2 linked regions of the Saccharomyces cerevisiae S288C genome follow. Changing the gene in region 2 together with the main gene of any one other region gives a genetic interaction. Each region holds a gene or a part of one and is shown on either strand. Other genes may lie near its edges.

The links.
Region 1: mutations in CUP9 (region 2) and QDR2 together harm fitness more than expected from each alone (negative genetic interaction), as found in Saccharomyces cerevisiae (2 studies listed by BioGRID).

The regions. Positions count from the first base shown.
Region 1 is NC_001141.2:122,920-140,131, forward strand, and holds QDR2 (cation transporter), read left to right. Parts: upstream 1-9,324; coding exon 9,325-10,953; downstream 10,954-17,212. Other genes in the region: alpha-ketoglutarate dehydrogenase KGD1, read left to right, coding at 1-2,814; AYR1 (acylglycerone-phosphate reductase), read left to right, coding at 3,285-4,178; putative glucosidase SIM1, read left to right, coding at 5,232-6,662; POG1 (Pog1p), read left to right, coding at 7,691-8,746; QDR1 (multidrug transporter), read left to right, coding at 11,498-13,189; RPI1 (Rpi1p), read right to left, coding at 13,735-14,958; Rho family GTPase RHO3, read left to right, coding at 16,833-17,212. UniProt on the Saccharomyces cerevisiae protein: Multidrug resistance transporter involved in resistance and adaptation to quinidine and to the herbicide barban (4-chloro-2-butynyl [3-chlorophenyl] carbamate). Implicated in potassium uptake.
Region 2 is NC_001148.4:201,223-217,432, reverse strand, and holds CUP9 (Cup9p), read left to right. Parts: upstream 1-3,470; coding exon 3,471-4,391; downstream 4,392-16,210. Other genes in the region: TRE1 (Tre1p), read left to right, coding at 1-1,421; nuclear cap-binding protein subunit CBC2, read right to left, coding at 4,649-5,275; PPQ1 (protein-serine/threonine phosphatase), read right to left, coding at 7,627-9,276; TCO89 (Tco89p), read right to left, coding at 9,786-12,185; CTI6 (Cti6p), read right to left, coding at 12,492-14,012; tRNA (34-2'-O)-methyltransferase regulator RTT10, read left to right, coding at 14,897-16,210. UniProt on the Saccharomyces cerevisiae protein: Probable DNA-binding protein which plays a role in protecting yeast cells against copper toxicity. May regulate the expression of important copper homeostatic genes.

The sequences.
Region 1 (17,212 bases), on a different chromosome or scaffold from region 2:
ATGTCTAACCCAAAGATTCCAGCTACAAAGGCTTTTCAGGCTCCTCCCAGTATCAGTAACTTTCCCCAGGGTACCGAAGCAGCTCCCTTAGGGACCGCAATGACTGGTTCAGTAGATGAGAACGTCTCCATTCATCTAAAAGTGCAATTGCTATGTAGAGCTTACCAAGTTAGAGGTCATTTAAAAGCCCATATAGATCCTTTAGGGATCTCATTTGGTAGTAATAAAAATAACCCTGTTCCTCCGGAATTGACTCTAGACTACTACGGCTTTAGCAAACACGATCTTGATAAAGAAATCAACCTAGGACCTGGTATCCTGCCAAGGTTTGCAAGGGACGGGAAATCTAAAATGTCTCTGAAAGAGATTGTGGATCATCTAGAAAAGTTATATTGTTCCTCTTATGGGGTACAATACACACATATTCCATCTAAGCAAAAGTGTGATTGGTTAAGAGAGAGAATTGAGATTCCTGAACCTTACCAATATACAGTGGACCAAAAGAGACAAATCTTAGATAGATTAACATGGGCCACTTCTTTTGAGTCATTCTTATCTACAAAATTTCCAAATGATAAGAGGTTCGGTTTAGAAGGTTTGGAAAGTGTTGTTCCAGGTATTAAAACTTTGGTTGATCGTTCTGTTGAATTGGGTGTAGAAGATATTGTTTTGGGTATGGCTCACCGTGGTAGATTGAACGTTTTATCCAATGTGGTCCGTAAACCAAATGAATCTATTTTTTCTGAATTTAAGGGTTCGAGCGCTCGCGATGATATTGAAGGATCGGGTGATGTCAAGTACCATTTGGGTATGAACTACCAAAGACCAACTACGTCTGGTAAGTACGTCAATTTATCGCTGGTGGCAAATCCTTCTCATTTAGAATCCCAAGATCCAGTTGTTCTTGGTAGAACTAGAGCTTTATTGCATGCCAAGAACGATTTGAAGGAAAAAACAAAGGCCTTAGGTGTGTTATTACATGGTGATGCTGCTTTTGCTGGGCAGGGTGTTGTTTATGAAACCATGGGTTTCTTGACCCTACCAGAATACTCTACTGGTGGTACTATTCATGTTATTACAAACAACCAGATCGGATTCACTACGGATCCAAGATTTGCAAGGTCCACACCATATCCTTCCGATTTGGCTAAGGCCATTGATGCCCCAATTTTCCATGTTAACGCTAATGACGTGGAAGCTGTGACCTTTATTTTCAATTTAGCCGCAGAATGGAGACATAAGTTCCACACAGATGCCATAATTGATGTCGTTGGTTGGAGAAAACATGGACATAATGAAACCGATCAGCCATCGTTTACTCAACCATTAATGTACAAAAAAATTGCAAAACAAAAATCTGTCATTGACGTCTATACGGAAAAATTGATAAGTGAAGGCACATTTTCTAAAAAAGATATTGATGAGCACAAGAAATGGGTATGGAACTTATTTGAAGATGCTTTCGAAAAGGCAAAGGATTACGTCCCATCTCAAAGAGAATGGTTAACTGCTGCCTGGGAAGGATTCAAATCCCCAAAGGAATTGGCCACTGAGATATTACCACATGAACCAACTAATGTTCCAGAGAGTACTTTGAAAGAACTAGGTAAGGTACTCTCTTCGTGGCCAGAAGGTTTTGAAGTGCACAAAAATCTAAAGAGAATTTTGAAAAATAGAGGAAAATCTATTGAGACAGGTGAAGGCATCGATTGGGCCACCGGTGAAGCATTAGCGTTCGGTACATTGGTTTTGGATGGTCAGAACGTTAGGGTTTCCGGTGAAGATGTAGAAAGAGGTACATTTTCTCAACGTCATGCAGTCTTGCATGACCAACAATCTGAAGCCATTTACACACCGCTAAGCACTCTGAATAATGAAAAGGCAGACTTCACCATTGCAAATTCCTCGTTATCTGAGTACGGTGTAATGGGTTTCGAATATGGTTATTCGCTAACCTCCCCAGATTATCTAGTCATGTGGGAGGCTCAATTCGGTGACTTTGCAAATACAGCACAGGTTATTATTGACCAATTTATTGCCGGTGGTGAACAAAAATGGAAGCAACGCTCTGGTTTAGTTTTGTCTTTACCCCATGGTTATGATGGCCAGGGGCCAGAACATTCGTCTGGTAGATTGGAAAGATTCTTGCAACTAGCCAATGAAGACCCAAGATATTTCCCATCTGAAGAAAAGCTACAGAGACAACATCAGGATTGTAATTTCCAGGTTGTTTATCCAACTACGCCTGCTAATTTATTCCACATTCTAAGGAGACAGCAACATCGTCAATTCCGTAAACCATTGGCGTTATTCTTTTCTAAACAGCTGCTGCGTCACCCATTGGCCAGATCATCTCTTTCCGAATTCACTGAAGGCGGATTCCAATGGATTATCGAAGATATTGAACATGGAAAAAGTATTGGTACGAAAGAGGAAACCAAGAGATTAGTTTTGCTGAGTGGCCAAGTGTACACTGCCCTACATAAAAGACGTGAAAGTTTGGGTGATAAGACCACTGCTTTCTTAAAGATTGAACAGCTGCACCCATTCCCATTTGCTCAGCTACGTGATTCATTAAATTCTTATCCAAACTTGGAAGAAATTGTTTGGTGCCAGGAAGAGCCATTGAACATGGGTTCGTGGGCATACACAGAACCACGCTTACACACAACATTAAAAGAAACGGATAAATATAAGGATTTCAAGGTCAGATACTGTGGTAGAAACCCAAGTGGTGCTGTTGCTGCCGGTAGCAAATCACTACATTTGGCCGAAGAAGATGCCTTTTTGAAAGATGTTTTCCAACAATCCTAAAGATGAATTCAAATATGAAAAACATGAAAATACAGCCATATAAACACGTAATATTTTTACCTTAATGTTTATGGACAGCCTTTTTACTTGAAGAATGATCTAACAAATATTTTTTTTGATACATTCACATTTTTTTTTTGTTCATGATGTTAGCATCTGCTTAGTCTTTTTAAAATTATTTAATTTAACGTTTTATTTATGTGAACCTTTTTTTATTAGTTGTATTTACTATTTATTCAAGAATCATTCTTTACTTTATATTGATATCGTTTTTTTCCCCCTACTTCCTCCTCTGGTGTATTCACAGCTAGGTGCTTCTCTTGTCCTCATCCGGTGGAGAAAAAAAGTGAAAAATAAGTCAATGGAAAGGGGGAAGGGGGTAGGTAAATAGAGTGAATAAGTTTTATTCATCATGCCCAACTTCTATTAATATATACTCAATTCAAATATTGATCAGGATTTCAAAGAGTATGTCGGAGTTACAGTCACAACCTAAAAAGATTGCCGTTGTTACAGGCGCCTCAGGTGGTATTGGATATGAGGTAACGAAGGAATTAGCCAGAAATGGCTATTTGGTTTATGCATGTGCAAGAAGACTAGAACCAATGGCACAATTGGCCATCCAATTTGGTAACGATAGTATCAAACCATATAAGTTGGATATTTCCAAGCCAGAAGAAATTGTAACATTTTCTGGTTTTTTGCGAGCTAATTTACCTGATGGTAAATTAGATTTATTGTACAACAATGCCGGTCAGAGTTGTACATTCCCTGCATTGGATGCAACAGATGCTGCAGTAGAACAATGCTTTAAGGTCAATGTGTTTGGTCATATCAACATGTGCCGTGAATTGTCGGAGTTCCTTATTAAAGCGAAAGGAACCATTGTCTTCACTGGTTCCTTGGCAGGAGTTGTGTCATTCCCCTTTGGTAGCATTTATTCCGCTTCTAAAGCTGCTATCCACCAATATGCTCGTGGGTTACATCTAGAGATGAAGCCCTTCAACGTGAGAGTGATTAACGCTATTACTGGCGGTGTGGCTACTGATATCGCTGATAAAAGGCCCTTGCCTGAAACCTCAATATACAACTTCCCTGAAGGTAGGGAAGCTTTTAATTCAAGAAAAACCATGGCTAAGGACAATAAGCCCATGCCAGCTGATGCGTACGCAAAGCAACTGGTTAAAGATATCTTGAGCACTAGTGACCCTGTAGATGTTTATAGAGGAACGTTCGCCAACATCATGCGTTTTGTCATGATATTTGTTCCTTACTGGCTATTGGAAAAAGGACTTTCCAAAAAATTTAAATTGGACAAAGTTAATAATGCTTTGAAGTCGAAACAGAAGAATAAGGACGATTAGTGTTTCACCATCGTCAATAGCTACCTATATTTATATACAAGATTCCGTATAGTTTGTACACCACGTCAGGACATCAATAGCTAATAATCGTTCTAATGCTAATGTTCAACTGCTCTTTAAGTATTGTTTACGTCTCGTCGTACCAGTATGCCAAATTCCTGTCACTTCACTCATTCTCTTTGCTCTTACCGTTTGAAACGCGCTGGGACGGAATTCGCTCATTTCGCATCGTGCTTTGTTGTTTTTTTTTTTTCAAAATTGCCATTGTTTATTTATAAACTACATGAAATTATTCTGTATTTATCTTCGCATTCCCTCTCTTACTTCAAAAGTGAGAACAGCATATTCAAATATATATATCTACTCAGTTGAATAAGACACTATAGCAAGACCATTTGAACTGAAAGAAACAGTTTCTTTGCTCCCCTCTCGAATTCCAACTATTTACAGTCCTTCCTTTATAAAAATTAACTAGCGAGCAAGAAAACATTTGTTTAGTGCTACCCAACTACTTACATTCCTTTAAAAACCACAATATTTAAGTTAACCTGAGCTTTATTTTTAGTAAGTTATTTACCACAATTTTTCTCATACACCTTTACAATCCGTATTGCCATGAATACCAAGGCTTGCTCAGCTTCTGCAGCAGTTCAACCCTTTCCAATACCGCCAATGCGTCCTCAAAACGTTAGTTTAGTCGTGCTCAACCGCTATTTTTGGTTTTATCTTCGTTTCTTTCTCCTGAACGACATTCGTCACGAAAATTGCGGCGGAAAATTTCCTGATGCGGACACTTTTTCCCGATCCGGACATGCCTTTTTTTGGCGTTTCGCGTCAGTCAATAGAAGTTTCAGATCTACATTAGGAAGAACCAGAAAATAGCCATTAATGCTTTCAGCATAGCACAGCATAGCAGCTGTGTATATCTTAAATAAGATGTAGACTGGTTTGCATTTGGAAAGGTTTTGTGTAAGAAAAGCAATACTTGAGGTAAAACAAGAGAAAAAAAAACACTTTACTAACTAATATCCAATCCTTTATTTTTTTGCAGAAATGAAATTCTCAACTGCCGTTACTACGTTGATTAGTTCTGGTGCCATCGTGTCTGCTTTACCACACGTGGATGTTCACCAAGAAGATGCCCACCAACATAAGAGGGCCGTTGCGTACAAATACGTTTACGAAACTGTTGTTGTCGATTCTGATGGCCACACTGTAACTCCTGCTGCTTCAGAAGTCGCTACTGCTGCTACCTCTGCTATCATTACAACATCTGTGTTGGCTCCAACCTCCTCCGCAGCCGCTGCGGATAGCTCCGCTTCCATTGCTGTTTCATCTGCTGCCTTAGCCAAGAATGAGAAAATCTCTGATGCCGCTGCATCTGCCACTGCCTCAACATCTCAAGGGGCATCCTCCTCCTCCTCCTCCTCCTCGGCAACTTCTACCCTAGAAAGCAGCTCTGTTTCTTCATCTAGTGAAGAAGCTGCTCCAACATCTACTGTCGTGTCAACTTCTTCCGCAACCCAATCTAGTGCTTCTTCTGCCACTAAATCTAGTACTTCTTCCACTTCACCATCTACTTCTACTTCTACTTCCACTTCTTCTACTTCCTCTTCCTCTTCCTCCTCCTCCTCCTCTTCTTCTTCTTCTTCTGGCAGTGGTAGTATCTACGGTGATTTGGCCGACTTTTCAGGCCCAAGTGAGAAATTCCAAGACGGCACTATTCCATGTGACAAATTCCCATCTGGTCAAGGTGTCATTTCTATTGACTGGATTGGCGAGGGTGGATGGTCCGGTGTGGAAAACACCGACACTTCCACTGGCGGTTCATGCAAGGAGGGGTCCTACTGTTCCTACTCCTGCCAACCAGGTATGTCTAAGACCCAATGGCCATCCGATCAACCATCTGACGGTAGATCTGTCGGGGGTTTGTTGTGTAAAAATGGTTATTTGTACCGTTCTAACACTGACGCGGATTACTTATGTGAATGGGGTGTCGAGGCTGCCTATGTTGTTTCTAAACTAAGCAAGGGTGTCGCCATTTGCAGAACCGACTACCCGGGCACTGAAAACATGGTTATCCCAACCTATGTTGAAGGGGGTAGCTCTTTGCCATTGACCGTTGTTGACCAAGATACTTACTTTACTTGGGAAGGCAAAAAGACATCTGCTCAATACTACGTTAATAACGCCGGCGTCTCAGTTGAAGATGGGTGTATCTGGGGTACTTCTGGATCTGGTATTGGTAACTGGGCACCATTAAACTTTGGTGCTGGCTCCACTGGTGGAGTGACATACTTATCATTGATTCCTAACCCAAACAACAGCGACGCATTGAACTACAACGTCAAGATAGTTGCTGCTGATGATTCATCCAATGTCATCGGTGAATGTGTTTACGAAAATGGTGAGTTCTCTGGCGGTGCTGACGGGTGTACCGTCTCTGTTACTTCCGGTAAAGCTCATTTCGTCTTATACAATTAAGCTACGTGACTACTACTTTTCCTTTTTTTTTTCTTTTTTCGAACACATCTCACCCCCTATACCTCACACAATCACTATGGTCCCCTTTTCTTTTTACCGATATTTATACTGTCCACCTTTTTCTTTTCGTTAATGGCCTCAATGTTTCTGTACCATTATCCAAGTGAACTTGTTAGACGACCAAATATAGCCAAGATTCATTACGATTATCTTTAACTAGCAAGTAGTATTCTTGGATAGAGAGATTTTCAAAGACGGAACAATTTTAAATAGATTTACATAAGAAAACACATACTGTCCGATACCCATAAGAAATTTAAGAACTCTTTTCATCTTCAGCTTTCCGGCCTCCTTTTACTGTAGCCTGTTCCTAGACAGCTAAAAATAGTACATATGCAGCTCTGCAATAGTCTCAAAGGGGATATTGTGTAGGTTTACGAAATCATCACATTTCCGAATCAGGACATGAAGGCACAACTTTCCGCACGTAGTGTTTTCAGCCCCCAGCGCCTGTCGGCGCGAAGAGGATCTGCGGAGATGAGCTTTGCCCCGCCATTACCCGTAAAATATTACTGTTTTGGGCAATTGTGGATCAAAAAGGGAAAATGCGGATGGTGAAAAAAATTTTTGGAAATTTACTGCTTCAGATGGGGGAACTTTGTAAGTTCTTCCTTTTTTTTCGTAGAGGTTGGAAAATTCAGAGTGCTAAGAAATTAAAAGGTATGCACTGCCTATTCTCATAAAAGCAAAAGTGCACAAAAATAATAAGGTGTGAAGCAATAGTAGAAAAGACACTGGGAACCCAAGGTATCTTATTTTAACAGATAAGTAAAACTAAGATCAAATCGCGTACTGATATCACTTAAGGTTCGCGTATTTTAAAGGCTACGCAGAAGAGGAAATAAATTGCGTGCAATCCCTGCGCTTAACTCATACAAAAAGGCGCAAAACATTTCAAGAGTCCCACGATTAATTGCAGAAATTGAAAAAAAATAAGTAAAGACGAAAATCAAAGTGGATGCCATATTATGAAGCAGGAGCCACATAGACAATCCGAAGAAAAAGAGAAGCCGAAAGGACCAATGGCTGTTGAACGAGAGCAGCATACCTCATTATCTTCTGGTACAACCGTGACAGCTAGTACAGGAGACGAGAGTACCAACAGTAGACCAGTGGAATCATCGCAAACAGAAAAGTCTCTATCGCTTCGAATAAGAATATTAAAACAACTTGGGTTTGACGATATTCAAGAACTAAATGCATGCGACACTGGCCTAGTGGAGCAATTTTTAAACGTACGATTGATAAACGACACAAAAGAACTAGAAAAGATACGCGAGTCAAATCTTGCGAAACTAAACCAGATTATTGATAAATGTATGGAAAGTGATAAAATAAGTGATTCGACATTAAACAAGATTCTTGATATGTCCATGAATAGAGATACAAATAATGATAACAACAATCATCTTACGATACCGTCTCCGATAACGACAAAGAAACGCAAGATAAACGCCTCCGAACTTGCAAGTCCACGAGGCCATAGAAGATATAGATCTGATATACCTACAGTGTCAGAAGTTGAGACAGGGGTCGGATACCCTCAAATACACCAGCAACCAGGCGCATATACTTTACCTATGCCTGCAAATCAGTGGATGAGCAACCCGTATATGCAACCTCCGCAACCACAAGTGCAACAGATAATGCCGCAGTATTTATATCCACCAGGGATGGGACCACAAGCTCAGCTTCCTACAATGAGCTCAAACTCGGAGTCCCAGACACCAGTGATGAGCTCACAGTTTCTTTCCTTGAACCAGCATGGCCTTTACCAACAAAATATAGGTGCTCATCCGGTAATGAGTATGGGCCCACAGGCAAATATATACGGGCAGCAGCACCAGCTGCAACCTGGTCAGGAACGAGACCAGTCAAGAAAAAGTTTTAGTCATAGAAGGTCACAAAGTGCCAATATTTCCATGGCAAATTTTAGGTCGCCCATGCGAAATCCCCAGCCGGCTTCGTCCCAAAGGCCCGTCAATTTTCTCATTCATACACCAAAACATCCTCCTCCCACATGACGTGCAGTAATTTTCATTTTTATCACCTAATTTCTAAAACTATATCCCTTCCTAACCTTCATTCGATGCATCCGTCCACCTTACTTCAGTTCAAAAAAAAATATATATCCATATATATGCTACAGTGTTATTATTACGATTTCTTTGCCTTTACTCCTTATCTCATTTCAATCATGAATAAACAGGATATTGATAATATATGCTGTCATTTTGGATTCAGTCTGCTTAACTGTCTTGTCCACCCCCGGTGTTCTTACCCGTCTGAGCGGTCGTAAGACGGAGGTAATAATTTTTCAGCATCCTGACCTCCCCCCCAAATCTGTGCCTTTCACCACATTTTTCTCGAGAAAATGTGTCTTGGCTCAGATGATGTCGTATGAGCTACTGGACTTTTTTTTGTTGGCCCTGATGAAAATAGTAATGGCGGTTACAGAACAGATAAACGGCGTCACCATCTTTTCCTAGATAAAGAAGCAATCTCTAGATAATGGGGTATATAAATATACATTGTAAAAACGGCAAGTCAGTTGCTGGTCATTTTAGTAGAAACTCTGCTCTCAAACTTGAGTACTGCAACGATGGCAGGAGCAACATCAAGTATAATTCGGGAAAATGATTTTGAGGACGAGCTTGCGGAGAGTATGCAGTCATATAATAGAGAAACTGCAGACAAATTGGCTTTGACTAGGACCGAGAGTGTAAAGCCAGAACCGGAGATAACCGCTCCGCCTCACTCACGCTTTTCCCGTTCTTTCAAGACAGTTTTAATAGCTCAGTGCGCTTTCACTGGGTTTTTCTCCACAATAGCAGGTGCCATCTACTATCCAGTTCTGAGCGTTATAGAAAGAAAATTCGATATTGACGAGGAATTGGTGAATGTCACTGTTGTAGTATATTTTGTATTTCAGGGTCTTGCCCCCACATTCATGGGCGGGTTTGCCGATTCACTGGGCAGGAGACCGGTGGTGCTTGTCGCAATCGTCATTTATTTTGGTGCCTGCATCGGTCTTGCTTGTGCTCAAACGTATGCTCAGATCATTGTGCTAAGATGTCTACAAGCCGCCGGTATTTCACCCGTGATTGCGATTAACAGCGGAATAATGGGAGATGTTACTACTAGAGCCGAGCGCGGCGGGTACGTTGGATATGTTGCTGGATTTCAAGTTCTAGGTTCTGCGTTCGGAGCCCTTATCGGTGCCGGATTATCATCTAGATGGGGATGGAGAGCCATCTTTTGGTTCTTAGCAATTGGATCTGGCATTTGCTTCCTAGCCTCGTTTTTAATTTTGCCAGAAACAAAGAGGAACATATCCGGGAATGGTTCTGTCACCCCAAAATCATACTTAAATAGAGCTCCCATTCTTGTTTTGCCAACAGTAAGAAAATCATTGCATTTGGATAATCCAGATTACGAAACATTGGAACTGCCCACGCAACTAAATCTACTGGCGCCCTTCAAGATTTTGAAAGCTTATGAAATTTGTATACTTATGCTAGTCGCTGGATTACAATTTGCCATGTATACTACGCACCTTACGGCGTTATCCACAGCTTTGAGTAAACAATATCACTTGACTGTTGCAAAGGTAGGATTATGCTACCTTCCCTCCGGTATCTGCACATTATGTAGTATTGTCATTGCTGGAAGATATTTGAATTGGAATTACAGGCGCAGATTAAAATATTACCAAAATTGGTTGGGCAAGAAGAGATCAAAGCTTTTAGAAGAACACGACAACGACCTTAATTTGGTGCAACGTATCATAGAAAATGATCCCAAATACACCTTTAATATCTTCAAGGCGAGGTTGCAACCCGCATTTGTTACCTTGCTTTTAAGCAGTAGCGGATTTTGTGCGTACGGATGGTGCATTACTGTCAAAGCCCCTTTAGCGGCCGTTCTTTGCATGAGTGGATTTGCGTCGCTGTTTTCCAATTGCATTTTGACTTTTTCAACAACTCTAATAGTTGATCTTTTTCCCACGAAGACATCTACGGCTACGGGATGTTTAAACCTTTTCAGATGCATTCTATCTGCTGTGTTTATAGCTGCATTGAGTAAAATGGTAGAAAAAATGAAATTCGGAGGTGTTTTTACATTTTTGGGGGCTTTAACCTCCTCGTCATCGATCCTCTTATTTATTCTCTTGAGAAAAGGTAAAGAATTAGCCTTTAAGAGGAAAAAGCAAGAACTGGGAGTAAATTAAGAAGTAAAGCTTCTTGAATCAAAGGAAAATGTTCCTTTTGATCGCTCCACTACCGAGAAAGAGGAATTGGTGTGATAAGTCTTCTCAAATAGAAAGTAATAGTAAGTATTTTTTTTTTTTTAATCTGAACTCTGTAATAACTAAAATTAGAGTTAGCAGCACGATTCACTAACATAGAACGGCTAGTACTGAGTTTTGCCTTTATTATTCTCCGCCATTTTTTGCCAAGGCCGAAAATATGCTGGAGGTGCGAAATTCGGAGATTCGGGTTTCATGTTTCTGGCCCGGTTGTTAACGGACCCTTTATCTCATCTTCTGATCTTGGAGTTTCTTCTAGTTGATAAAACCATGGTGAAGCTGAAAGGTTTGAAGAATCTCTATCACTGTAGCAAAAAAATCTTCTTACAACAAAAAAAGTAAGCAAGCAATCAGCGTTCAAAGGAACTTATTCTTGCTTAAAAAAAGTGATAATCTCTTAGCACTACCATCTTCTATTAATAAAAAAATAACAGATAGCTCATGAAGAGACTTCTATAAGTAAATCATGACCAAACAACAAACTTCTGTAATGCGTAACGCATCTATAGCCAAGGAAGAACGTGAAGGATCTGATAATAATAATGTGGACAGATCCAGCTCAGATGCCATCAGTGACAACGACGCAGAAAGATCTAATTCTCATTCTGAAATAGATAACGAATCAAATTTTGATATGGTGCCTTATTCAAGGTTCAGCCATAAGCAAAAAATGCTTCTTGTCGTTCAGTGTGCCTTCACAGGCTTTTTTTCAACCGTGGCAGGGTCTATCTACTATCCAGTGCTTACTATTATTGAGAGGAAATTTAACATCACAGAAGAGTTAGCTAATGTCACTATTGTGGTTTATTTTATTTTCCAAGGGGTGGCTCCTTCAATTATGGGTGGTTTAGCTGATACATTTGGAAGGCGGCCTATTGTATTATGGGCAATCTTAGCCTACTTCTGTGCCTGCATCGGACTGGCATGTGCACATAATTACGCCCAAATCCTGGCTTTAAGGTGTTTACAGGCAGCAGGTATTTCTCCTGTTATTGCAATAAATAGCGGAATAATGGGAGATGTAACGACAAAAGTAGAGAGGGGTGGATATGTTGGATTGGTTGCAGGGTTCCAAGTTGTTGGAACTGCATTCGGTGCATTGATTGGTGCCGGATTATCCTCGAAATGGGGTTGGAGGGCAATTTTTTGGTTTTTGGCTATTGGTTCCGGAATTTGTCTAGTTTTTTCAACCTTATTGATGCCAGAGACAAAAAGAACTTTGGTGGGAAACGGCTCCGTAACACCAAGGTCATTTTTGAATAGGTCTTTGATATTGCATGTTGGTTCCGTAAAAAAAACATTACATTTAGACGATCCTGACCCTGAGACCTTAGAACCACGTACTAGCGTGGATTTTTTAGCACCTTTAAAAATTTTGCACATACGAGAAATAGACATTTTATTGTCCATTGCCGGCCTGCAATTTTCCACGTGGACCACTCATCAAACAGCCTTAACAATTGTATTGAGTAAAAAGTACAATCTATCTGTTGCAAAAATAGGCCTGTGCTTTTTACCTGCAGGAATCTCGACACTGACAAGTATTATCTCTGCTGGTCGGTACTTAAATTGGAGCTACAGAACAAGAAAGGTTAAATACAACAGATGGATTAAAGAACAAGAATTACAGCTGATGGAGAAATATAAAGGTGATAAAAACAAGGTAGCAGAACTTATTCACTCTAATTCTCATTATGCATTCAATTTAGTGGAGGCAAGGTTGCATCCAGCATTTGTGACACTTCTTCTCAGTAGCATTGGCTTTACTGCCTTTGGATGGTGTATTTCGGTGAAAACACCGCTTGCTGCTGTATTATGCACAAGTGCATTTGCAAGTTTATTTTCAAACTGTATTTTGACCTTCTCTACTACTTTGATAGTAGATCTCTTTCCGTCTAAGGCTTCTACCGCAACAGGTTGCTTAAATTTATTTAGATGTCTCCTATCCGCAATTTTCATTGCAGCACTGACCAAGATGGTCGAGAAGATGAGATATGGAGGTGTTTTTACGTTTTTGAGTGCTATAACTTCATCTTCATCGCTTTTATTATTCTATCTCCTGAAGAATGGGAAACAACTATCGTTCGATAGGATTAGGGCAAATGATAAGTCGGCTGGAAGGTCAGTTGGTAAAAATTCAGAAAAAGTTTCGACGTGAAGAAAAAAAGTCGTAAAACTAAAAAGTCTCTGCCCCCACTTTCCAGAAACAGATATCTATATTTTATAACAAAGACGTACGGCATCATTTAAAGTATCTAAAATTTCTTTGAAGAGATCACATAAAAAATTTTCACCTTCTTTTTCTCTTTTTGGCTGTCCAAGTAAACAAAACATAAACTGCTTCAACCAAAGATAAAACTTGAGAAAATCCAAAATGAACAATAAGGACATTTCTTGGTGACAGATTCGTTAAGTTTCATTATTTTTTTCACTTATTTTATAGAAAAAAATCGGATGTTGAATGGGCATAAATATAAATGTATATATAAGTAATATTGTCTTGTTTCCCTGGAGAAGTAAATGAAAAATGAAATAGCATACAAAACAGACATAAAATTTAAAACAGAAATGAAATGAGCATTTAAAATTAATTAAAAGGTGAAACGACGAATTGAAAATTATTGATGAGGGTGAAGGGAAACAGGGAATGTGCTAGAATTAAAGGGGTAGAAAATTTATGGTGGAGACTTCCCGATACATACTTTAATGTTGTTGCATAAAATTTTCTGAGTCTGAAGTTGACATATTATGCAACGGTTTATTTTGTTGGTAAAATTTATGGTTTAATTGCTTAACTTCATTTTTTAAGCAGTTTACTTGTTCCTTTAAATTTTCAATAGTGTTAAACATTGTTTGCCACATGTATATGACATCTGTAGAGAAAACTGGGGAAATTTGTTCTTGTTGTGCATCGCGCGGTAGCTGTATAGGCATTGTTTGCTGGAAAAATGGCGATGGTGGAGTTTGCAGGATTAGATTGTCTGCCGGTGCTGATGACAAAAGGGAAAATTGAGCCGGGCTAATGAAGGATGGTTCTCCTTTGGTATCCAAAGCTGGCAAAGATTCTAATTTATCGAGGTTGATACTTGACTGAATATGCTCTGGTGTACTAAAAACATTAGTACTATGATTACTATTCCTATTAATATTATTGCTATTATTATTGTTGCTATTGTTACTATTGTTAATATTATTATTGTTATTGTTACAATTATTATAATAATGGTTATTAATATTATCATTAGTACCATTCTTGTTCGGCTTCAATGTTTTTTGCGACTTGAGTATAATGTTTCCGTTTACAAAACTAAAAGTGTTTTGTAACTGCACTAGCAAATACTGCATTCTAGATAATTTTGACGGATCAAAATTTAAGTTTGAGCCTGCCTCTTGTTTTGATTTTTTTTTCTTTTGCTTGGATTTCTTTGATGGATGCACTTTCAAAGACTTTGTGTATAAGACTTTAAATCTATCATGACATTGACGAGAGTTTCTCTCGTACCCATATTGTTGGAATAGGATTTTTGAAATTTTTTTCCAAAAATTCTTCATAGGCTTGAAATATTCTACGAATGTTAGTAATTGAGAATTATTCATTATTGTAGTAATGAATGCTATATCCTCAGGCTCTTTCCATTTTTTCCTTATCTGTCTTGCAGACGAGGAGGATGAATTAGAGTTGTTTAGCTCATTTTCGTCAATAGAGCCTGAGTTGGAGTTGGAGTTCGAATTAGAATTGGAGTTCGAATTCGAATTTGAACTGGAAATTATTCTTGGAGTAACTAAAGAGCAGTCCGAACCCGTTTCTTCATTAAAATTTGAAGTAATGGGTGTGTTTAAATTTGGTGAATAATCAGGGAAATTTTTGCTTATAGTGCTAGACTCATCCATTAGGTTCAACTTCGGTTGAAGATATTCCAAGTACATTTTATAAATATCAGTAATAAAATGATGAGAAAAAAAAAAAAAGACTTAAAAAAAAGGACTGAGAAATAGTTAAACGAATACGATAATATGATATACTACCATGAACTGTAGTCTGGATAACCAAACGGAAAAAAAGGAAATACAAAAAAAGTCAGATTGTAAGGAAAAAAAAAGAGTAGTTTCAGTATTACGAAAACTATTAGATCTTTCTTTAATTTGAACAAGAAAACAAGACTATAAAAAAAAATACTCTTTAGGATGCAGACATAAAAGAACAATACGACCGTCCCTTATTTATATATAGTCCATAGAAATAATCTCAACCAATATAATATGCAAGAAAATAACGAAGTAAGGAACAAGCACAATGGTACGCCCGGTCTTGAAAAAGTTTAAAACAGTACTCGACCCTAGGCGCTAGGGTGGGTGACGCATTTTAACTTTGCAACAGAATGCCATATGCGGTGTTAACCTCACAAGATCGGCTCTACTATCTGCAAGCTGCGGCAAATACCAGAGAAAATTCCATTCCCGTCGACAAAATTTAACCGACCCCCCCCCCCCCCAATTTACGTTTATCAGCTAATCCAAATGTGGAAGGGCAACATTCTCGACGACTCCTTTTTCCGTAATTTAAGTTTGCCCAGGCAAAATCTTATACTTGTTTTCGTAAGAGAAAGATGCGCAGATCCTTTAAGGTTACCTTCAAGCAAATCCAGAAGCACAAATGGCAGGGGAGAAAAGACATGAAGCAGGAGTAGTCAACCGCAAAAACCCCCGCGGGCTTGTTGTTCTGCACATTTTTGATGTGTTTGTTCCTAAGACAAAGTCCTAACTTAGGGTAGTAAGTGACTATATTCTGCACGCTCTTAAAGCAGCCACCTCGTTTAATTTTGCATGCTTATATAAGCTTATAAACGAAGTACCTGAGGACCTGCATCGGCCGGCCCATGTGAAAAGGAAGTATTTACTTTTTCTTCTTCTTTACTATGGAAATAGCTGGAATCCGACTATGCATATGCGTAAGAAAAGAAAATGAAGGAGTTTTCACAGGAAAGCACACTTGCATACTGGGCACAAGTGAGGAGAGGGGCCTGTAATGCTTCTGTGTTTAAAAGACTCCGAAATTAGTCAACGCAGATTTGCAGATGCACGCAAGAATACATAATCAATCACAGTAAGCACATCTCCCCAAGGAAAGAGTAAATGCCTTCGAGCCAGCATTGTGGTCATGCGAGATGTCTAAGAAAAATACTTCGATAAGCACGAGGAAATGTAATATGTCTATCTACCTTATTTTTTTTACAATAAACATATAATAAATCCCTTATCTGGTCACGTGAATTAAACTTCGGGTGTGTTGTAAGAATGGAAGGAGTAAGCGAAACTCAAATTGAGGCCACTTACCACTTCCGGTCGAGCCCGGCCCAGAACCAGTCGTCGGCCAACTTTTTTCTTGGAACAGCGTTACCGCACCTACGCGAGAAATAGTAGATTATAGATAAGAAATACAAGGAGAGGGGTGTGGATGAGCTTTTTTACAAAATAGTGTAAGGCGTCCGGGAAACCCCAAGAACGTTTTTTGACATCCACTAACAGGATTACCCGTCATAGATATACTGGTGCCATTACCCGTTAATGGCATCTTGTATATTTCTTTTATCTTTCTTAACATTCCTGAAAATTGGTAAACAGTAAAAAGAAAAGAAAAAGAAAGAAAAAACATGTATTATTTTGAATTTACTGGAAAATAGGCAACCATTGATTTTCGTTTTTTTATCGTTCTCATCTCTAGCTCTGGTCAGCATTTTTTACTTTATAACAACAAGTTTTTCATTAAAATCCATAGTAGCACAAGGTAAAGGGAAACAAACATGTCATTTCTATGTGGGTCAGCTTCAACGTCAAATAAACCGATCGAAAGAAAGATCGTTATTTTGGGCGACGGTGCCTGTGGTAAAACTTCGTTGCTGAATGTTTTCACCAGAGGTTATTTTCCCGAAGTTTATGAGCCTACTGTTTTTGAAAACTATATCCATGATATTTTCGTTGACAGTAAACATATCACGCTATCGTTGTGGGATACTGCGGGCCAAGAGGAATTTGACAGGTTACGATCCTTGTCTTATTCAGATACGCAATGTATAATGTTATGTTTCAGTATTGATTCACGCGATTCTTTAGAAAATGTCCAAAATAAATGGGTGGGTGAAATCACTGATCATTGTGAAGGCGTCAAGTTAGTCTTAGTTGC
Region 2 (16,210 bases):
ACGTGATACAAATGAAGTCAGTTGCGTTGCCGCAGTATGGTACTGGTGATGCACTTACGCCTGAATGGGAAGGATCAATAAGAGATCCTATCGATGCTACGGAAGCCAAGTGCCTACCCAAAATTCCATCCATACCGATATCTGCCAATCAAGGAGATAAAATACTAGCTATATTATCAGACACTGGCGTAAAGTTTTCTAATAATTTATTCAGTGGGTCGCTTAACGATTGTCGACTTGACCTACTAGTGCAAACAGCAATTAGGGAACGCCACCCGGTTCACGATATAGTTGGTAAAATTGAAGGATCGGAACAAGCGGGCAGGGCAATTGTTATTGCTGCACCGAGGAACTCTGCTAGTTATGGCACTATGTATCCTTCTTTTGGAACCGTCGTTTTGCTGTCTCTGATCCAATTATATCAAGAAATGGTTTACAAATTTGACTGGAAGCCTCTAAGAAATATATATTTCATTTCCTTTGGGGGCTCTGAATTTAATGAAGCGGGAGCCACGGAGCTGATGGAAAAGAGAACAGAGGCATTGAAGAGTGAAATATACACCATTATCGACGTCGGCCAAATCGGTATATGGGATGATAGTAACAATTTAGAGATACAATGTCATCCGCTACTAGTAGATCTTTTTCAAAAAAACATGACAAGCCGTAAATTTAACGTTAAAGTGGATAATGTTCACCAGTTCGGCGACTGGACGCCGTATCTAGCGCAAGGGATTCCAGTTGCGATCATTTCATCTCCAGGAGTCATGAATAGAGAACATCCGATCTACACAGTAGAAGACAAATTCGATTTCATCAAAGATAAACTAAGAGACAAAAAGAAGGGAGAGGTACTTTCTGAGATAATGCTATATCTTGTCGAAAAATCACTCGAGCTCATTGACGATCCATTCATCCCATTCAGCATATCGAACTACGTAGATTTCCTTTCAACTACGTTAAAAGACCTCCAAAAAGAATGTCCTGATACGGTAAACTTTGACGAAGTCTTTTTGGGCACAACATTGTGGGAAAACACTAAACTGCAGTTCGAAAAATGGAAAAGCGAATGGACAGAGCTTATGTATGGAGCCGGTACATATATAGAACCCACTATCATTGCCATTAATCGTTGGTCATGGAACTACCTACTTTCCCTAATAGGCGTTACCCAATGTTTGGAGGAAGGGTTAATGGATAGAACCTTTTACAAGAACGTTATCTTCGGGCCAAAACTCTGGGTCGACAAAGGTGACCCACTTCGTTCATGGACGTTCCCTGAAATCAGGGACACTATTGCAATCAAGGACTGGAGCTCTGTGCAGGTTCAAGCTAACACACTCGGCACAATTTTACAAAATACAGCACGCTATTTTCTTGAGAATAAAAACCTTCATGGAATAAACACGAACGAATTTTAGTTATCGGTTGAAAGAAAATTACACATCGATTTATGCAGGCAATCAACTATAGTATACACAACATATACTCCTATGACTTGTAGATTTCTTGCCTAGGAAGACTAAATACGTTTAATTCTAAGATTAGGAGCCCATGCATTTAAAGTTGCTTTTTGCCTGTGCGGGACAATTTTATTAGTCAGTATGGACATCTCCGCGGGGAATTTTTTTATCGGCAGAGCTGTTTAGACAAAGGATATAGATAGTATAAGGTGTTAGTACACACATTTCAACATAGTTATATTAGGAAGATTGCCACAAATTTCCTCTTTTTTTTTTTTTTCTTGTTTTTATTACACCTCCGCCCCTTGAATACCTTAGAGGTTAAGAAGTGAAATGCCAAGAGAAAGCCTAATAGGACACACAGTATTTACCACGGGAAAAGCGCGGGATATTTGAATCAGCTGGAGATTATTATGTACGCCATGTATATTTTTAGAGACGGCTTGTAACGGGTGCCAAGATATTCCATATTTTTATGTCTCAAAAAGGAAGAAAAGAGCTACGAGCACGTGCAAATATATGAACTTCAACACCTGTAGAAACTCGATAGTGAATAAATCAATCACAGTGCTTTCCTTGAAATAAGCTTCTGTCTGAACTTTAACAGTGATTTTTTTTTTATAGAACAGGCCTTTTCATCTGCAGAGATATGTCTAGTCTCGTAGGTTTTGACTCGTAACTTTGACTTCTGCATCTGGATCGTCAAAGCAACCCATACTTGACTTGATTACATTAGCATCAAAGAAAATCGTGCCAACGCCTTTTAGTCATGTCGAACGGTAGAGGAGGAGAAAGAGGGAGCTATCAAATTTAAAATTCGCAAACAAGCTGTTGAGAGCGACATAATAGCAATATTGTCGGGCCCCTTAAACACGTTTCATTAGTGTTTTAAGTGCCAAGCCAATGTGTTAGTAAGCTTGTAAAGGAATGCACGTATTAGAAAGTGAGCAACTTAAAAGTGAGCAAATATGATTAAAGTAGTATGCCTCCGAAGCTCGTCTTGTACTGCAAACTAAGCACAGAATATGCCGCACAAATGTCGGTGCCTATTATACATATGCTTTTCGTTATGTGTCTTAACAGACCTGACCGTTAACGGCAACAGAGAAAAGGAGCACTACCGACGGCTTTTTGCTTCTGGCCTATTTAGTGCCTGAGAATTTTGTGCGTGTTTCCTAGTGTCCGGCGGGCTTGACCTAGTCCACACTTCCAACAAGCACAAGCAGCGTGCTTCCTCACACTGGCGAATGCACCCAGAGTCGGCGTTGCCCGAAGTAAGAACCCTACCGCTACTCTGGCGCAGGCGCAGAGGAGCCACAGCCCTTTAAGACGCAAAAAAAGTAAAGCGGCAAAAGAAAAAACTGTCACTTTCGGACCGTTGGGTTATCCACGGGGTTTTCTGAGCACTCATGATCGGTAGCGGTATATTTCTGATCTCGCTCATTTTCTGTCAAATCGTCCTGATAATGGACGAAGACTGTACGTAAAGGGCAATTTTAAGAGACACAAAAGAATCCCACGAGAATTACTACTGTTGATTTTTGTGATTGGCTAGATAAGAAACCTTATCCGCTCACGCGCGTATTACTTCCTTCTTCGGATTCAGATTTCTTTCTGTGGGAACGGGTCATTTCTGCCATCTTACGTCTCTCAGCTTTTCTCTTTTGTTGAACCTTAATTTATTCATGTACATCAAGCTGTAGTTTGTTTTTTTCTTTTGGTAATTAATTTTTGTCCTTTTGTTTTCTTACAGCGTGTATATATTAATGATTAATTTTCTATGACTGATTTCGTCGCGCCCGGCGTTTTCTTGTCTCTTAATGCCTCCTGTTTCTGTTAATTGGTAAGATTATGTTAAATTGGTCAAGATATATACTAATACAATTTTTTAGTTGATCTTCCCACCCTTGTTTTCAAGCGATACCACGCCTATCCAGTGCTACTGATCGCTACTTGCCGAGCCCCTACTTTTATGCTAACAACCTTCGAGAATAGTTACATTCGAAGATGAATTATAACTGCGAAATACAAAACAGGAACAGTAAGAATGTTGACAATCAAGTCAGTCTACCCCCTATCCAAGTTCTATTTAACTCCATAGAAAAACGGAGTATGCCCGAGTTGGCATTTTCGAACATAGAATACTCGCATGGGAACCTTCGGTCTAGTACCGAGGAACAAAACTATCCTGCGCCTGTGTTACTTCCACAGCATCATTCGATTGCGTATCCCGCAATTAATTCTGGCGGTACTAGTACTACTGCTACTCCTACTGCTTCTACAGTTGAAACGTCCAAGACGAGTAGCAGTGCTATGGATACACAATCTCAATATGGCAGTTCAAAGAAGTCAAAATCGGCGTCCGATGATGCAAAGCCCTGCTACAAATCCGCCCCAATATATGAAATAATCAATAAGGAAAAGGATGCGGGGGCACAATACAACAGGCCATTTTCGGATTTTGTAGAATCTAAATCAAGGAGGAAGCAAAATTCGGGCAGGAGGTCTAACCTGCCAAAGGAAACAGTGCAGATACTGAATACTTGGTTGCTGAACCACCTGAATAACCCCTACCCAACTCAACAAGAAAAGAGGGAGTTGTTAATCAAAACTGGGCTAACCAAGATTCAACTTTCTAATTGGTTCATAAATGTGAGAAGACGCAAAATATTTAGTGATTACTATACCCTGGTAAACTCAATTCCTAATGACAACGCGAATAATACCCCAGTGGAACGAGTTCAAAACGTCTCAGCATATCATAACACATTATCTGCCACAAATAATACTATGTACGATGCTACGTCAACCTGCTCCACGGATTATGAATTATCCAAGAGATTTGCTCATGCCCCCGTTACACGCCGTAAAAAACTAATTGATAGGCTGGAAGAATTGAAAAAGCTATCCAACCCTGATATGAATTGATCACTTATCAATGCATTACTTAAATATTCATATAATTATATCTATTACCATTTACATTTTATCGTTACTATATATAGTATTATCATGTCATTGAACGTGTTACGTCTATTATGTTACACTGATTTTTTTTTTTTTTTTTTACATAACAGCATCATGCAAGCCTTTAAAAATAATGTAGGTATGTATATATACAATAATATATATATATATATATATATCTGTGTGTAGAATCTTTCTCAGATATAAATTGATTGATTCTACTGAGGTACGTAGTTATCATCTTCTCTTTCTTCATCGAAACCTGGTCTGAAAGTACCCATTGCATCAGGAGGAGGGATATAATTATTCGTATTAGATTGTGAGCTACTGTTATCAAATCTGGAATGTGGTACGCCGACACGCTCTGCAAATGGAATGGCGAAGCCACCTCTGGATGCATCAAAATCGAACCTCAATTCATCGCTGACTTGACCACCGCTCTTACCACGACCAAACTGTCTTCCATCTTCAAAACCAGGATCTAGATCAATGGTAATTGTCTTTTCGTCTAACTTTGTATCGGACAAATATTTTAAGGCATTCAATGCTTCATCTGGACAACTATATATAATAAAACAGAAGCCACATGGCGTGAACTTAAAACGGTCCAAACCCATAATTATTCTTTTTATTGTGCCACATTTACTGAATAATTCGTAAATTTGTTCTTCTGATGTATAAAAGGAAAGATTTCCTACATAAATTGTGGATGACTTCATCGACTCACGCAGTTCTTGTAGCCCGTTAGGGTTTCTTCTAGCCTTGCGCAGCAGGTACCTTGATGGTGTATCTAGGCGTTTAGTTGAATGATCATATTTAACTTCGTCAAATTCTTCCAGGGACATCTTTCCCTTTATTTATTGGTATATTAATGGATGCAACTTTTATTCGATATTAGTCCTTTCGGGACTTTAAAAGCTGTCGAGACACTTTCTCCATATAAACTCATGTTCTATATTCATACATATAATATTTTTCTTGAAAAAAACACAAAAACTGTTAAAGCGGGTAATACTTTGATAAGCACTTATTAACGTTTATACCATACACTACTTCATACACCAATTACAAATCTATTAGTGGTATACTTTTACTGTAGACAATGTGGATTTTGATGTAATTGTTGGGATTCCATTGTGATTAAGGCTATAATATTAGGTATATAGATATACTAGAAGTTCTCCTCAAGGATTTAGGAATCCATGAAAGGGAATCTGCAATTCTACACAATTCTATAAATATTATTATCATCATTTTATATGTTAATATTCATTGATCCTATTACATTATCAATCCTTGCGTTTCAGCTTCCACTAATTTAGATGACTATTTCTCATCATTTGTGTCATCTTCTAACACCGTATATGATAATATACTAGTAACGTAAATACTAGTTAGTAGATGATAGTTGATTTTTATTCCAACATTTACTGGTACAATAGGTGTATGATATTTTCCCAAAGTTTAAATTTATATAATATAAGTGGCTTGTGCATTAATGCTCTTGAACGAAACTGGATAACGAAAACTGCAAATACTTGTAGTTTTAAACAGACACTTTCTGGGATAGGTCTATCAGCGAAGCTTGGGAATGTTTCGCCAAATTACCTGTATCCTTTCATGAGCGTGAGCAGGTTTAGGTCATGGTCACATCTTATTATATAAATTCTTTCAGAAGATTGTCAATTGTCCATCTATCGCCATAGATTATCTGAGAGCGAAGTTCCATTATGTCTACTAGTAGAAAATAATTTGAAGTTGAAATATAATAGCATTACAAAATTTTTTCTTTATATAGTCCGGTCTTGAAGAAGGATAACAATATTAAGTGTATGAAGACACAAGAACTTTTTCTTGGAAATTTGGATTTTTATGGGAGGAAACCTACAGCGGCAATGTATAATTATGATTAGTTCATCCTTTGCTGCCATCTGTTCGCAATTATTCATGCAATTGTATGATTATTGTCAGGCATTTCAACTTCCGGTAGATTCGTTTGTAATAATAGGTGAATTTTGTGTTGACATTATCAAACCGTTAAGATAGTGTTAGTTGCCAATTAGCATTTGCCTCGATAGAATGTGACGTTAGTTGTGGTACTAGGAATAAAAGTTGATGGCCAAACATTTTTCCTGCACATTTCCTTCAGCGTTTTCAGAAAAGAGAATTTGAGTAAAAATATTTTTGATGTTTAGGTTACCAATATCTCATTAATATAAATTTGAAAACAATGAATTTTGGGTTATACTTGGAGTGCATTTTATTGTGGTTAAAGGCTACAATATTAGCTAAACAGAATGTACAAGTAGTTTTCCTGGAGAATAAAAGAATTCTAAAAGAGAATCGATAATTCTATACAATAATATAGTTATCTCTTCTTTCGTTTATGTACTGTCGTTCTTGTTTTATTACGTTATTAATCCTTGCAGTGCACTTTTCATGATGACTGGTGACTGTTTCTCAATTTTTACATCATTTTTTTTTGAAAACATGATGATATACTAATAATTTGGATACTAGCAATAAATGCTTCTTGATCCTCTATTCCAACAAAAAAGTAACAAGAGCTTACTGATCTTCGGTTTTTATTTTACCTTATCCCAAATATCAAATTGAAATATACCGATTGTTTTAATCCGTTTTGTTGTATATTATCGTAATAATATGCAGATAATATACATATATACGTATTACGCCGATTAGGCTGACACTTTAACAAAATTTTCTGTCCAATTATTGTCCGATATAGTGTAACGGCTATCACATCACGCTTTCACCGTGGAGACCGGGGTTCGACTCCCCGTATCGGAGTTTTCTTTTTGCTTCCTTCCGCCCTTCCAAGTTGTTGCATAATCTTATCTGTCAAAATATGAACGCTTGAAAACTATAGATTATAATTATCATTTATTTAGCCATAATGGAGGGAAGAATAATATGATTGCATATCAAAGGTAAAAAAAGTCGAGTAAATGACTTATAAACGTAAAAAATATATTGATAAAAGACATAAACGAGGCCATGAAGGTGGGAAAAAAAAAAATAACTGCATAATAATGTTAACTAAATGAAAATAAAATGAAAAATAAAATGAAAAATAAAATGAAAAAAACAAATCATAGGACAAAAAGTTTCCAAATGAAGGATAAGAGGCCTAAAAACCAATGTGCTTTCCAGGCAAAACCAATCTTAGCAACAGCTACACTTTGGTTTTGTATAACTTCTTTTTATTTTTCAATGCACGCGGCTTTAACAGTTCAAAGCTACACATCATACCCGTTGTAACGCTCATTACTGCCCCCCAATTATGAAATTCTCCACAATAATTTGGTGCTGAAAAGATTGTGACAAACTTTTTCCTGGCAAAGAATTCATAACCATCTTCTACGACCATATGTCCCCTAAGTATTAAATCGAATTTAAACTTAGCACAAAAATCAAGAACGTTCCTCTTAGAAAATGTGTATGAAACACCACGATCATTTTCTGACCAATCAGTTACTTGAGGGTCTGGGTCACTCCACAGTAAGTCTGTAACCAGCCCGCTTTCAGGAATATCCGTTGGTCTTGCGACTTTTTCGATTTGCTTCATGTCATGTAAATCGGGCGATATACCTCCATGAACGCAAAAGATCTTATCTTGAATAATTGCTGCTAATGGCAAAGTATTAAATACGTCAACGAACATTTTCCATACTTTCGAGCTCAATCGCCTTTTGCATTCATCATAGAAACCGTACATCTTTGTGACATTAGCAGATTCGTGATTACCCCTTAACATAAAAAAGTTGTCTTTGTACTTTATTTTGTAACATAATAACAATAGTATTGTTTCCAATGAGTTCTTACCACGGTCCACATAATCACCCAAGAACAGATAATTAGTATCAGATGGCACACCAGACAACTTCAAAATTCTCAATAAATCATTAAATTGTCCATGAACATCACCGACAACTTTGATAGGCGCTTGTAATCTCAAAAGAGTAGGTTGATTCAAAAAAATTTCTCTTGCATGATAGCAAATGAGTTGAATTTCCCAAGAATGGAATGGAAAGTTCTTTTTTTTGGACGTTTTTGTAATTTCTCTTGACTCACCCACTTGTAGTAATTTTTCGATCGCAACATCGATATCAAGACCTTCATTTGAAGAGGTATCATGAGAATACCGTCTCAAAAATATAGGCTTCTTGCTACTTTTAGGATTAGGTATCCCAGATGTTGGGGACGAAGGCGCACCAAAAGAACCTGCCTTAACCGAAGATGAAGGAGACTTAACTCTGGACGATAACCCTGAAGATTTTAAAAATGATGAGGTTGATGAGGAAGCAGACGTAGCGGATGAGTAGTAGGAGGAAAAAGAATATGAGGATGGAGAAGAATAATTTGATTCACGATAAGAGGGTGATGTCAGGATATTATTTGAGGTAGTGGCAGTGGTAGTAGAGGAAGTTCTTGCGGTATTGATCAGCTTCGGAGCAGTTGCTGATGAGGATAGGGCTTTAGCGACAGAAACATCGATATCTAGGTACAAGCTCTTCAAGTTTTCATCCTTAGTGTATATTTTCTGTTTATGGGCATTCTCACCAGGAATGAGCAAATTATCATTGCTAGCTCGTTTATTGTTGTTGTTTTTCCCGGCCGATGCTAAAGTGTTGTAATTGTTTATAGAATGTTTATTATTGAATTTCTTGATAGTAGGTAGAGACCTACTATCATCTGGGTCATTAGGTTCGTTACTGTTGAGATCATCTGAAGGTGTAGTTAATTGTTGCTGACTAGAGTTTGAATTAGTTGAGCAATTCGGTACTGCAAAGTTATTATTTGATCTGGACGGGCTTCTTCTCATAAATAGAATATAAGTGAAGGGAAAACAATATCTAACTTGAAAGGAAAATGGACTAAAGTAATAAAATAGGTTTTTTGTAAGGACAAGCTTGTAAATGAAACGTCAGAGACTCGGTAAAACAAGATTAATTTGAATGTAGTGATTCTGACCGATAGTATTTATAGTCCGTGAGGAATACTTACCAAAAAATTGCTAAAAGAATAGACACGTTTAAGGTATATTTACTAATGCCATTTTTTAAGAGATACGGAATCCAGCGAAATCGCTAAATTTGCGGTGGTTGCATTCAACGTTTTTCTTTCTTTTTGTTCGATAATTTATCATTTATTACGTTAACCGGGTTATACAAATACGCCTCGTTAGCTCGTATAGAAGTACATGTCCTTTTATAGTGCATAAACATAGTATGTTCCTTAAGTGTCCAAACATATTCGCTCTCTACGAACTTCGCGTTTTACCTCGAAAGCATTAGCTACTCTTTTAAACTGTGTGCTTCGTGTTGGTTGTTTTCACCTTTGTTGTGGCTGTGTATGCATGTAGCCCACATTTTCCATCCTGCGATTCACTGCCCTCGTAGTCGGCTGCAGAGAGTTAATGACGCGTTGGTGGTGCAAAGTCGTGCTGGAACCCATCGGGCCCCTCAGCAAGTTACGTGCATTCTGTGAAGCAGTGTGGCCAACGCTGTGGTTTGTACTCGTTGTCCTATTCTTGTTGATTGGATTAACATCCTTGTTAAATAAGTAACTTTCGCTTTTCCATATACCGGACAACACTGCCTGAATCTTTGCACTTGCAAGATGTGGATAAAGATCATCAAATTTTTTGTCATAGTTAGTAAAGAGCAAATCGTCCTCATCCTTATGATCTGTATCACTGCTAGAATGTGCGATTGACTGAGCATCGTTATGGCTTTTTTTCCTGATATTATTTGCATTTCCCGTTATTATAGGTTGTACTCTCAACAATGCTTCATCTAATGGGTTGTAAAATCTTTTTACATTAGAGTATTCATGGGATATTCTCTCAAACTCCCTTTTCGCATCAATGTTTCCTGCCATAAAGATAGAGTCACTACCGTCATTTTGTGAACTTAAGTCCATAATAGAATTCTCCCTCTGCAACCATAATTTTCTTTGTGTTCTTGATTCTGCATCAATCCCATCTGATTTAAGGAACTGGGCGAAGCTATTAAATTTGGCACCTGAGTTGGATTGTCTGTTTGCATCGCTACCGGAGTTCGTACTAGATGTAATATGTTCGTTGGACAATGGAGAGGCCGGGGCTGCAGAATTTTTGTTGAGATCGTTGGATCTCAGAAGTAGATTCTGATTACCTTTCTTGTGAAAAATATTATTCATTCTTGAACCATGGAAGCTTTCAGGAGCAGCTCTCCTCAAATTATTGGTTAAACTCGATATGGAGGTCGAAAAGTTGTGCTGTGGTACATTATTATCTTTACTACCGATGTTAGCAATGGTGGGGAAAGTAGACTGAGAGTTCGGTATATTTTGGCCAAGTTGAGATCTTCCACCATTTTTCTTGCTCTTGCGCAATTTGCCATCATCCAGTTCATTAAAAGTATCACCTGAAGCCATATGCTCACCCGAGTCATGAATTTCATTCCCAAGCGAATTTTGGATGGATGATGAATTTTCAAATCTACGTTCAACTCCAGTCGACTGGGAGAGAATCATATTAGGCGCATAATTTTCCAGTAAGCTATGCCCTTCAATATCCTTGGTACCAGCGGAAGAAATATCATCAGGCTTGATTAGATCTTCTTCTTCGTTTAATAATTTGTGTTGTTTAGAACTTTGTCTCCTAAGAGACATAAAGCTCGAGTCGCTTTTTCTTGATGAATTACTCCTAGGGGCATCAATGTGATCTTCCTGATCAAACTGTTCATCTGAATGACTTGGTTTTTGATTACTTTTATGTGCAGCTAAGGTATTACCAACATCAAGAATTTTTTTTTCTTTATCATATGGTGCTTCTGATATATTATCGCCCGCTTTAACCAATGAGGCCCTCAAATTTTGAGAATGGCTGGACAAGTCATCAATATCAGCTTCCTTCGTCACCTTTGATTGCCCCTCTTCATTGATTACACTTGTTGCATTCAGTTTTGTTTCAATTGAGCTTGGAGATGTTTCTCCATCTTTCTGATGTTCTATAGAATGGCTTGATTCTCCGAAATAGTTATTGGAAGATAAATGAGGTAATGGTAAGGATACAGCTCTATGATTTTCCTTTCCATCAGTACCTGATTTATCTTCTTCTTGTTCATCTATTGAATCCGGGGATTGTAATTCATTCTGATTTAATTGCTGCACATTCTTTTTTTCTTCAGGCATAACATGCTCGGCTATTACTTTATCATTATTCACCTTTCCATCTTCAATGTTGTCTTCCGAAAAACATTCCACCTCCTCGTCAGTAGTAGATTCACTCTTTTTAGATTCTTGCGCATCTCGAAGACTCAGAACAGATTGGGTACTTTTACTTCTTCGTGGTTTCAGGCCGAAACCAGCAGTTCCAGTATTAGAATGACTGCTGTTCTTTGGACTGAGCAGCGTATTATGCACCGGACTATGAAAGGATGCTGATCTTTTTCCTTGATTGGACTTTACTCTTGTTAAAGCTGTCATATTCAACCCACTAATCGTTCGCTTTCTGAAAAGTGCATCAGAACTCTTGCATTTCTGAGAAACGTTGTGCTTATTAAAATAATCATTATCCAGGGTGCCATCATGTGTTAAAACTCTACGCAAACCTTTGAAGCTTGCGTTACTCTTTGCTCTCGACCTAGTCGAAAACTGTCTAAATGGCTTTGACTGGTGTGATACTGTTGACGCATTAAGAGATGTTACATCAGTGTCTGACTTCAAAGTCCTTCCTCGATGAACCATAATTATAGTTACTCAGTAAGGATATATGATATATCCCAATATCTATGTTTACCTGACCCGTAAATCGATAGAATGTGCTAGTCCATTAGATGTTTGGATTCCTTAATCATCGTGCCAGCCAAATCGCTATACCATCCGCAACTAGCTATCCTTGCGGTTACCCGTACAAGAGTAAGCTCGGTTGATAAAAACAACGTTGAATTAGTCGTTTTTATATCCATATAGATGTATATATATGTATAGATGTGTTTGTTCGCCTCATTACAGTTATACTTTGGTTGAGAATAATATTGCAGTGTTTTGCGTTTATTGAATGGCATTAGTGTTATTTGAATATTTTTTCTCCCATAGTAGTAACTCTCTAGTCAGGTCGTCCATCATTGATAGACTTTCATTATAACCGTTGTAAATCGTATCAACTTTTTCTACGAAATGCTGGTTTTCCACGAATCGTACAAATTCCTCTCGATCAGACTGATCTTCACTCAATTCCCATTGAGTTCTAGAAATGAACTCCAAAATAGCGGATACCCTTCTTCTCATTTCGTTTAATGAGGTCCTTTGAGGGGGTAATCTGGGCTTTACTGGTTTGTCGGTACCTATATCAGCACTCCTTCTATTTTGGTTGGTGTCTGAACTTGTATTGCTTCGACGAGTTCTGTTGCCCTTTCTTGCTGGTTTGGAAACTCTTTTAGAACCCCTCGAACTAGCTTTCCTTGAATCATCCTCAGAAGAAGATATTGAGGTTAGGGGTAGGATGGGTTCATCAGTTTTCTCAGTGTCTTGCGCCGAACCCGTAGAAGATTCCTTTTCTTGACTAGCTTCTTTTTCCACATCATTTGTTTTTTCCATTGATTGCTCTTTCGATGGTCGTAGGCTTTCTTTCATATCATCATTTGTTACCGAGTCCGGTTTGCCTTCCGTTAGCATAACATCCGTTTGTAATCGAGTGGTGCCGTTGTGATTGTCGGTATCACCTTGGTATATATCAGCATCATTTTCATAACTTTCAGGATCTTCTTGATGTGATGTCCTCCTGCTTTCTTTCAAGGCTTTTTCAAGCATTCTTTGATATTGCTTTTCTTCTCTTGCCATGAAAGTTGCCCTTTTTCTATCCAGTAGCTTCTTATCACTATCTCCAGGATCCAGTGAATACTGATCGGTAGAAGCATCATCCATTGAATTCCTCCTCCTCCTTCTACTTGACCTCGTGTTGCCGTCCTTGGCTAATGCTACAGCCGAAGCTTCATCTTCTACTTCATCTTCTTCGTCGCCGATATCGTCGACGTTATCATCGGTATTGCTGGTATTTCTGGGACTTTTCTCTGCTTCATTGGCGGCATGAGATTTACTTGCAGCTGCACTTCGTGCCTTCCTTCTTGATTGCCTCCTTTTCTCTTGCACAGGTTTATAGATTGACCTTGCTTCGCCAGTATCTGTGGTAAAGAGCTGATGTAACTCCGGTCTGCATTGCTCGCACCAATATTTATCAGGTGCGTTGTCTTGAGTAATACTCACACAATAACCGTGCTGCCAGGAACTGCACTGCTCACATTGAATGAAAAATCCGGAGTCATCTGGAGTATCGAGCTCTCCACAGATACAGCGAGTTTCGCCTTCCTCTTCCTCGACTTCCCCCTCTCCACCTTCCATAGGAACATCTTCTTGTTTTACACTTTCTTCCTGTACACTTCCAATCGCCGCCGTTGTTGTCGCTGTTGATGTTGTTGATATAATGTCTGTGGACCCACTAGCAATGACTTCCGCTTTCTCCATATCTTCACTACCCACAACAGGGCCTTTAGGCACTATTGCTGTCGATTCCATTACTCTTCTCTATACTCCTATATGTTTATGCTATCTTTTAGTAAGGTTACGCAAAGTAAACTTCGAAGGAAACAAACTATTGATGGTCTCTGTTGTGAACTTTGTACCCCTGTAAATACCCAGTTACATAAAATTCATATACGAAAACCAACAAGAACAAAAAAGAAAAAACTAATCAACAAAACGTTATTTTTTGATCATGCAGTGAAAAGCCACCAATAGAAAATTGAAAATAGAAAATGCAGCTGATTGTGCTGTGCGGTTTACCTAGTTTACCCATAGCGGAGAAATTTTTCAAAACTAATTGATTACGTTAAAGCCTGTCTGCGACGTGCTCCGTCCTATTTCCGCAAGATGATGAGGGTAATGCCCTTTATAACTGCTCAAAATAAAAAATAACCGCCGAGGTCTTTTTAATTATCAAGGTTATAAGAAGTGCCAGAAGTGGGTGAACTTAACTCAATAAAAAAATATTAGTGACGAACATCTATCAAAAATTGAAAATTGAAGGTACTGCTCAGAGAAACTGAGTCTGGTCTTGCCTACATCTTTAAGAGGAATTTGTTCTGGTGTATTATTTATACAGCCGATAACATTGATGATACTCTCAGGGTCATTTTCACGTAGTCGTGCTTTGGTGAGTTGTATACTACCCTACGTACTTTTCACCGCTTATGTTTTACACTGGGGTCTGAATGATAGATTTAAGCCTAGCATACACATCGGCGTCTCACAAAAAACGACGCTGCTGAAAAAAAAAATGTAAGAAAAAAAAAGTGGAAAAATATGAGCATGAAAAAACTTCTGCTAGCGGACCTCATCGTTATTTAGCTTCTCATTCCCGCCAATTGAAGTTGCTCATTGAAGAAGAATAAGTGATTAAAATGAAGGACTTGTCTCATTATGGTCCTGCGCTATGTGTTAAATTTTACAATGATTATGTTCTAGCTGGTTATGGGCCTTTCATCCATGTCTATGACTATCATTCGGCTACGTTGATTAACAAATGTAGGCTATTTCACTACAATAAAGTTCATGGACTTAGCCTTTCTAGTGAAGGGAAAATTTTGGCCTATGGTGCAAGATCAGTAACAATAGTGGAACTTGAAGACGTTTTAAAGAAAGAGTCATTGGTGGATTTCGAAAGGATTAACTCAGATTGGATTACCGGTGCTACATTCAGCTTTGACAACTTGCAAATATATTTGTTAACATGTTATAATAAAGTGCTAATTTGTGATTTAAATTGTGAAGTTCTTTTTAGGAAGTCTCTTGGGGGAGAAAGATCTATTCTATATTCCGGTATAATTAAAGTTTTCGGTCCGGATAAAGTATATGTTAACGCTGGTACTGTAATGGGCGGTGTTATCATTTGGGACCTGTTCTCGGAGACAAAAATTCATAACTTACTGGGTCATGAAGGTTCTATCTTTTATGTTAATTTAAGCAACAACGGAAGATATGTTGCCAGTTGCTCTGACGACAGATCAATTAGACTGTGGGATTTAGAAACTGGCAAGCAGCTGTCTGTTGGCTGGAGCCATACGGCAAGAATATGGAATTTAATGTTTTTTGATAATGATTCAAAACTAATAAGTGTTTCTGAAGATTGCACATGCCGTGTATGGAACATTATCGAATCACGAGAAAACGTTGCCGAATTATCCATATCTAACGTTTACGAAGTACATTTAATCAAGAGTATATGGGGCGTTGATGTGAAAGACGACGAAATGATAGCTGTAACCTCCGGGAATGATGGTAGGTTAAAGCTGATTGATCTTCTTCAACTGAAGAGACACGGCGATGAAGAAACATCGTTCAGTCTAGATGATATCGCAAAGCAATGTGGCGATATTTTCGAAAAGAATGAAAGTATCAAGGGATTTCAATGGTTTTCATTCGGTGTAATTGCTATCACTTCATTGGGTAAAATACTTAAATACAGTGATGTCACGAAACAATGGAAGTTGTTACTAACAAATGAAAAATTCAACTCGTATCCAATTACAAATGGGATTCAAACGCAAAATATCGCTGTCTTTTCCAATAATAAAAGTGACATCCTTCTTATCAAATTTAGCAAAGATAGCGCTGACATAATTGAGACCGAAGAATTCCATTTAGATGAGCTTTCTAAGACAAATAACTGTCTCGTTACAGAATACGATGATGACTCCTTCCTATTGACTTTACAA